Arabidopsis thaliana: one gene and its partner. The protein of the gene in region 2 interacts with the protein of the main gene of each other region in a pairwise test. Each region holds a gene or a part of one and is shown on either strand. Other genes may lie near its edges. The genes, in order: AT4G14490 and AT1G63840.

Region 1 (4,371 bases), on a different chromosome or scaffold from region 2:
GTTAACCTTAAAGAAGAAGATGTTGTTCCAGAGGAAGATGTCACGGGTTCATAGATGGATGCAGATACTCCGAAATCAGCGAGCTTCACGGATCCATCAGAATCTACCAGAATGTTACCTGCCTTGATGTCACGGTGCAAATGACCCTGATCGTGAAGATACGAGATTGCATTCAGAGTTTCCTTGAGGAAGACGGAAATGCAGTTTTCTGGTAACCCACTTGGAAAAGACGAAGAGACGATCGAATGAAGAGAGCCACAAGACATGAATGGCATAACCACCCAGAGACATCGATCAACGGTGAATGAACAATAAGCATTGAGAATATTCGGATGAGAAAGCAGAGACATCGTCTTGGTTTCACGGCGAAGACTGTCAAAGTCAGCCCGCGACTGATCAAGATCGATGGCTTTGATAGCAACTACCATTGAGTTCATCGGAATGCATATGGCCTTGTAGACCGAAGCACTAACACCAACGCCTATCTTGCAGATGATCTCGTAGGCTTCAGCATCAAGAGGGAACTCGAGCTTGTTCCGAGCCATAAATAGAAAGAAGATGAGTACACTCTTGCTTATTGAATTGTTATGTTTTTAGTGGAATTGTGGTCTTTTAGAGGCTAATAGTACCATGAGGCTATTCATATAGGGATGAAAAAAGAAAGAGTTGGTTTAGCATGTGAACTTGAAAAAAAAGAGAGCCTTTAATGTAAAAGCAAAACCCTTATCTCTTACTTAAAAATATGTTGATGAAACAATAAGATGAAGCATGTGAAAGAGCTAACTAACTAACCTTAGTTAATGAGATTTTACCTTTGGTCTTTCCAGGGACCCAAAGGGCAAACACTATCATTTCAACTTCAAACCGGTAAAGGTACAAAAATTAAATGGAGCTATGAAAATTTATTTTCATCATTTCACAGAAATTTAAAGTTCTAGATTTAGATATCTAGACTCGTTTTACAACTTTTTTTTCATGGCATTTCTGAAGAACTTGCATTTGCCTTTGACCACATGAGAAGGAAACAAAGACTAGAGAAAAGACGTCAGCCTTCTTGACATTTGGTAAAATGAATGATCAAGTATTCAAACATCAATATGCTAAGATAAAATCACAATGGAACAGAACTTGTTTTATAAGTCTTCAGGGATGTCCTTGAAACATATACTATAAAGTGGGCAAAAGACTTATGAAACCTACTTAAACATCAGCACTTCACTGTTTACTTTGTCTCACACGTAAAGCAAATGCAAGTAAATCAATGCAGTCAAAACTCTAAGCAACACAGCCAATCCCACAGCATTAAGGTCTACTTCATAAGAAACTTGTACCTGTCAGTATGTGTTTCTTATTCCATGAACTGAAGCTATACCAATAATCAGTGTGCACCATATCAGTTGGACACTTTGTCAATTCAACACATACACGCTTTAGCCTGAACTTTTCTTTGATCTGAAATATACTCACGAACTCTCTGAGTTTTACTTCGCATGGGCTCAATCATATTTTCTGTCTTGTGAATTATCTCTTTTGACAGATGACCCTCCAGAAAACTGAACAATGCTCCTAATGTCATCTTTCTTAGATCTGTATCAAGTTCATTGTTCATATCTTCTTCAACATGACAGCTTAAACCCTGCTCTCCTGAATCAGTAACCTCATCATTTTCAAAGCTCTTCAACGGCTTCTGATCCGCTTTCTTGTTCTTCCCTTTGTTCTTTCTGGCTCGATTTAGAACCATGTCCAATTCCAAATAAGAATCTCCAACAATATCAATCTTCTTGCTTCTTGTAGCCCTAGTAATCCTCTTCTCCTTTAAAGTCTCTACCTTCTCTACATTAACCACTCCCAAACAAGCTTTTCCTACACTTTCTTCAATCTTCTTGCTCCTCGTAGCCTTACTGCTCACTCTCTTCTTCAATCCCCTCCCTAAATTTTCCTCCACCATTGCACAATCCTCCATTTCAACCTTAATTAAGTTTACAGATGAACTCTGAATACTTTCAACATTCCTAAAGCTTCCATTTTTCTCCACCAGATCCTCTTGTAATCCATCAGTAATCCCTAATTTCTCCGAATCCTCGATTTTCCTAACTTTCCTAACCCTAGAACTCGGCTTGTTCTCAAATTTCACATCCAAACCCTTTTCTTCCTCAGTGATATCCCCCAAATTGATACTTTCTAAAACCCTAATTCGCTTCCTCGCATTAGCCTGACGCCTATTGTTCCTCGTAAGCTTCTTCTCCTGAAAATCATCAATCACAAAATTCACCAAAATAGATGTATACTCACCTAGTTTGATAACATCGCCATCTCCGAGATTTACCGACGTCTCTGGATCAAGAGCATTCGAATTCAATAAAGTACCGTTGGAAGATCCAAGATCTTGTATTACCCAATTCCCAGAATCCGATTCGATCCGAAGATGCTTAGTGGAGATTCCAGCGTCTTTAATTGCGATTTCATTACCACGAACGATTCGACCAACACGAATCGTAGATCCAGGCTTGTAATCTAGAGCATCGCCTTCTCTTGGACCCTTGACGAATACTAATCTCAACGATGGCGTAACCATTGTTACCGTTTCTCTCCCAAATGCGAATTTTGAAATTTTGATTTGTCTGACGCTCCAATTATTAATGGGCCTTAAATGGGCTTTTATCGTTTCGACGATAAAACAATTTCAAGGCTAAAAGCTACTATTGGCTAAACAACTGGCATTATTGATTACCCAAACTTCCAGCAACACACGTGAATCTCTCAGCAAACTTATCTCTCCCTTATCCACTTTTTTTCCAACCTTTTTCCCCTCACGCTCCTTTACCCTCGCGTGTATCTCACCTCATCATTTGGATATCCACTGTTAAAATTCCCTTTTATATTCGAAATCAACCAAATTTAACCTTACTCCTATAAATTAATTAGGCTCTTATCTACAATTGTTGCAAATCAACAAAACGTGCTTCTAATGCTAACACAATAATTGATTTTTGAGTATATTCCTCTACGTAGTGAACACGACGCGCTAAGATCTGACGCGTGGGATATAACTTGTCGGTCAACGAAAGCGCCACGTCATCGCCACTATGCTTGTCCTTATCATTTCCTTTCACCCGCCAACGTCGTTTCAAGCACAGCAAATAATATCAGAACACATTTTTTTCTTTTTATGATTTAATCAATTAAATCACCAAACTCAATTAAATAAAAAGAAAAAAATTATTATTATCCCTTCTTCTTCTTCTTCGTCTTCGTCTTTGATTCTCCTGATTCATGTCGCTTAAATTTTTAGCGATCTTCGAATCCCATTTTCCTTCGGGAATCTGACATTTTTTCTCGGGAAATTTTTTTATCCAAATCGGAGTAAAGTATCGAATCTAGAGAATCCGCTATGGATGAGACCTATTTTGATCTATTGAATTTCTTTAAGAATCCCTCTTTTACAGAGACATTTGTCGACATCTTACTATGCGCAGTTCCGATTTGGCTCGCCGTTATGATCGGGTTATTAATCGGATGGTCTTGGCGTCCAAGATGGACCGGTTTGATCTATTTAGGGTTTCGTTCTAAGCTTCGGTTTTTATGGACCGCACCGCCTGGGTTTGGTGCTCGTCGGCTTTGGCTTGCTTTCACCGCTCTCTCTGCTTTCTCCGTTTGCCGAACCATCTGGTCAAGGAATGACACCAGAGCTAATAAATCGGCGACCGGTTCAGCTTCGTCGCAGACGCCTGTTGAGGATAATGATGAATCAGGATTGGCCTCAAGGTTAGTGTAATGCTTAATTATTGGAAGATGTAGAAGTTTTAGTTCTCTGTTTTAAAACGTAACGTTTACTTTTAATTTAGCTAGATAAGGTATATAGTGTTTGCATTATCTTTTAGTTTCGCAATAGCATTGGCAAAAGAATGGTTTTTTTTTTTTTTGCATTAGTTGATTTATGGATTGGTTATATTTGCAGAGGTAGCGATAACGGGACGGTGACAGAGGATATTGTGACAGAGAATGATTTAGAGCATCTGCTTCAGCTGCTTGAAGTTGGAAATGCAGCTTTGGAATGGCAATCTATGATGGATAAGACTACTCCAAATATGAGCTACCAGGCTTGGCGTCATGAGCCTGAGGTAATCTAAGTTTTATACTCTTGCTTTGTATCCGTTTCCTTATGCTACGCCTGAATGATGTAGCTCAAGGAACAAGCTAAGTCATTGAGTAGTAGGCGGAATAGTCGAAAAAATGAATTCTTTAGAGTAATTTGAATGACATCTGAATCAGACCACTGCTTTTAGGTTTATTGGTAATGACGAGGGAGATATGTTTCTAAGGATAGCTATAGACGATCAATTTTTAGGTGTCTAGTAGTATACATTGTGT
Region 2 (3,916 bases):
AATAGCCTAATGTTTTTTGTTCTCTCGCATCTTTTACCAAATACCGTGTGGTGGATTCAAGTTCTCCATAGAACATTTTAAATGTTGACAAGACAAGAATCTATTGGATTAAACATACAAATGGGAAAATTTATCTATTGAAATGTTATTTAAGTTAGATAAATGCATCAACAAATTGACGTATATGTACTTAACTGATATATATATATATATATGTTAATGTGTATATATATATATATATATATATACTATGTTAATGTATATAGTTATAGTTGCAAAAGAAAAAAGAAAGTGTTAAATTTTGGAATGTGAAATGTTGGAGGAGAAGATGGAGAGAGTGTGAGGTGGGTCAGTGCTGCTTTTGGCTCTTTCATTACATTAGTCAGATTCCCATATGACATGAGACTTTCGCTCTTCCTCAGAAATAGATCCCTTAATATTGTATTCTAGAAGTATATTTGACATAACGGAATCAAAAGCCAAATTGAAGAGCTATGTGGACTTTTCTACGTAATTAATTTAGGTCTTAATATACTTAGTATACACTCTCAAAATGCTAGTAATTAATATAGCAAATGACGAATATGTAGATTGATGATAGTTCAACTAGTCATGTAATGATGTGAAGATACAAACATAATATGCATTTGAACTCAAATCCTATCAACCATAAGTAACATTTGGGTACCCATATTTATACCAAAACGTAACAGCCAATTAAAAAATCTGGTAAAATTTCATAGAAAACGACGTAATCGTGATACCTTTGTTTACTACTAATCTTGATACTTTATGATTTACATCCATGTGAAAATAAAATCATGTAGACCAAAAATTTCTCATACAAAAACATTAAAAATAGAAATAATGGTTTTGCAATATTTTGTTAAAACAGTTAATTTTTTTAAAAAAATACACACGTATATATTCATAGTTTATATACTTTATAGGCTTATAGCATAGTTCAATAGAGGTACAGACAAACTGAAAAGAAATGAACCTAACTATCTGTCTTCACCTCGATTATTTGTCGTCTGTCTGACTATTTTAATTTAATTCTAATAATTTATGAATGTGACTAGTTTGGCTTATAGGCAAAGATCAATTTTTAGAGTGGGGTTATTGAATATTGTATTCTAACGGAATTGTATGTATTTTCAAAGACACGGTGACATCCACTGTCATTCAATTTCTATTTGATTTTGTTACATTTGAGTTTCAATGTATTATTTTGTCTAAATCACGAGTAAAACAAATACGAGCCTTTTATCTCTGATTTTGATGTATTTCTCATAAAAATTATAAACAAAATAATTATTCCCAAAATTGTTTTATTTCTCTTTCATCTAACAAAGAGATAAAGAATCAGAAGCATTTTGAGAACAATATAATGGCGAAGAAACTGCAAGATCCACCGATGGCATCTTCAAAATGGAGCCTTCGGCTTTGGAGGAGGAAGATCGTATTTTAAGAACAGAAATTCGATCATTCATCCAGATCTGATCCCTTATGTTGCAGTTCCCACTCTCTTTTTTTCTTTTCTTTTTTGCCATTTATGATGCAGTGACTCTTTGAACATGAGTGAAGTTCAAAGAGAACTCAGTCAAAATCCATACCAATTAACGATTAACACATTACAACGTAATACATAAGTCGTGTATTGTAGTGACTTTGTCAAAATCCAAATTCAGTTACGCTAAAATACATTGAAAACATCAATCCAATAATTTTGAACCAAAGATTCAAATAAAAACACGATTTTTTTTATTTTGTAATCGAACGATTTTGAACCAAAGTATAGACTAATTAATATTTGGGATTTTTAGAAAAGTTTAATATATTTAAACCCTCATGGGTTAACCTAGGTATGAGTTTTTTTTTTTCATTTGTAATATGTTGATTATGTGTATTCTTGGGTGCTATAAGCAGAAGTTACATTTCTGTCTCCGTATACCGTATTAAAAATAATGTATACTCAATTGTAAATATCTTTGATTATGTCATTATGTATTTCATGTATACATGTCTTTTCTCCTAAAACTTTTATACCACTTCATAAATCAAGAATTGTAAGAAAGTTAAAATTAAATAAACAGAAATTTAGTGTTTAAATCTGATTTAAAATGGAAATTTGAAAGTAACGAGTTTATTATATAGTAAAATACATATAAGAAATTATTTAAAACCCTTATTTAAATTATATAGAAAAAAAAAAGGTCAAGTAGTCTTCTATTATTTACTAGTATAACCTCTAGAAACATCATCACCACATTCCTGGCTAATATCCTTCATCTAGAACAATTATTAACGAATCAAAATACCAAAAAACAAAGCACCTCATTGACTATTAAATTAGTACTAATACATTAATTAAGTTATTATTCCTATATATAAATCTCACCCATTCTCCACCTTATCATCACAATCCAAAACTCTCTCTCTCTCTCTCTCTCTGTCTCTTGTCTTATCATTTATCTCTCTAACGGCGAGGCAATGGGTTTTCCGGTGGGATATTCTGAGCTACTTCTCCCAAAAATCTTTTTCTACTTGTTATCTTTCTTAGGTTTGATACGTAAACTCATCTCCACAATGTTCAAGATCATTGGTCTACCAGATTTCTTAGAACCTGAACCGGTTTCAACCTCATGGCCCGACCCACCACCCACGTTGACCAAACCTGACTCAGCAGCAATACTAGCCGGAGAGATGTTACCGGTTGTTCGATTCTCGGATATAAACCGACCGGAATCCGAGTGTTGCGCAGTGTGTCTCTACGATTTCGAGAACGACGACGAGATCCGACGGCTGACGAATTGTCGACATATATTTCATCGGGGATGTTTGGACCGTTGGATGATGGGTTATAATCAGATGACGTGTCCACTTTGTCGTACACAGTTTATACCTGATCATCTTCAACTGGAGTTTAATCAAAGGCTCTGGTCTCAATCTTCTGCTGTTTCTTCTCAACTTCTTGATGAATCATCATCTTAGGACGTATTAAATCTTTGTCCAAACAAAAAAAAAAGACATATTAAATCCTTTTTTTTTGGTACTTTCATTGGGAATTGGGTTTGGTGTGAGATCGATGTAAATATTAAACAAAAAAAAAAAGGTAGTGGTTACAGGTTAATGAAAAAAGAAAGAAGAAGAAAATTTGTACTTATCCATCCCTGAAAGATGAAATTACATTTTGAGTTATTATAAAGTTGTAAACTTTTTTTTTTTGTTAAGGAAAAAAAAAATCATTTGCTATAACAGATTAATACTGAATGTGTTAGTTTTTTAGTACAGTATTTTAATAAACATTGTTTAGAAGTTATTTTTTAATTGTTACTTGTTCACCTGGCTAACTCAATGATACTGACATATTGTTTTTTGATTAAAGGCTTACATCAATGATATCTTTCTTTTATAATTTAAAATCAACAAGCATTATGCATAGGTCATTGAAGATAAGATTGTTTGTTCATCCCTATAACATGCTGAACTAATATATTTCAACATGTATTTGAGGGTATTTGAAATGTTCTATAAGTGGTAATAACAAAACTGAAGTCGGAAACCGATATGATTATTCCCCACAAGTGCTAACATCATGTATTTAGGTTCTCATCCGATGACATGTCTTGAAAGAAGCAAAAATTAATGGCGAAATCGTCATGAATATAGATATATCTTGGACATTGCATTTGACTTTTGTTTGATCACGTCTCTCACAAAGGAGCTTGGTGTGTCCTTTACGATTTATCATGTGATCTATTGTGACAATGCTGGAGCTATCTATCTATGGGATAATCATTTTGTTTCATTCTTGTTTGAAACATGTGGCACTTGACTATCATTTTATCCTAATCATGTTTTTCACTCCCGGTTTCTTATGTATTGTTCATATTTCGTCAAAAGATCAATTAGC

Evidence for each region.
Region 1: the proteins of AT1G63840 (region 2) and AT4G14490 interact in a two-hybrid assay, tested with the Arabidopsis thaliana proteins (one large-scale study listed by BioGRID).

What each region holds. Positions count from the first base shown.
Region 1 is NC_003075.7:8,331,000-8,335,370, forward strand, and holds AT4G14490 (SMAD/FHA domain-containing protein), read right to left. Parts: upstream 2,581-4,371; 5' UTR 2,576-2,580; coding exon 1,415-2,575; 3' UTR 804-1,414; downstream 1-803. Other genes in the region: AT4G14480 (Protein kinase superfamily protein), read right to left, coding at 1-545; AT4G14500 (Polyketide cyclase/dehydrase and lipid transport superfamily protein), read left to right, coding at 3,392-3,765, 3,959-4,121.
Region 2 is NC_003070.9:23,689,069-23,692,984, reverse strand, and holds AT1G63840 (RING/U-box superfamily protein), read left to right. Parts: upstream 1-2,177; 5' UTR 2,178-2,493; coding exon 2,494-2,994; 3' UTR 2,995-3,382; downstream 3,383-3,916.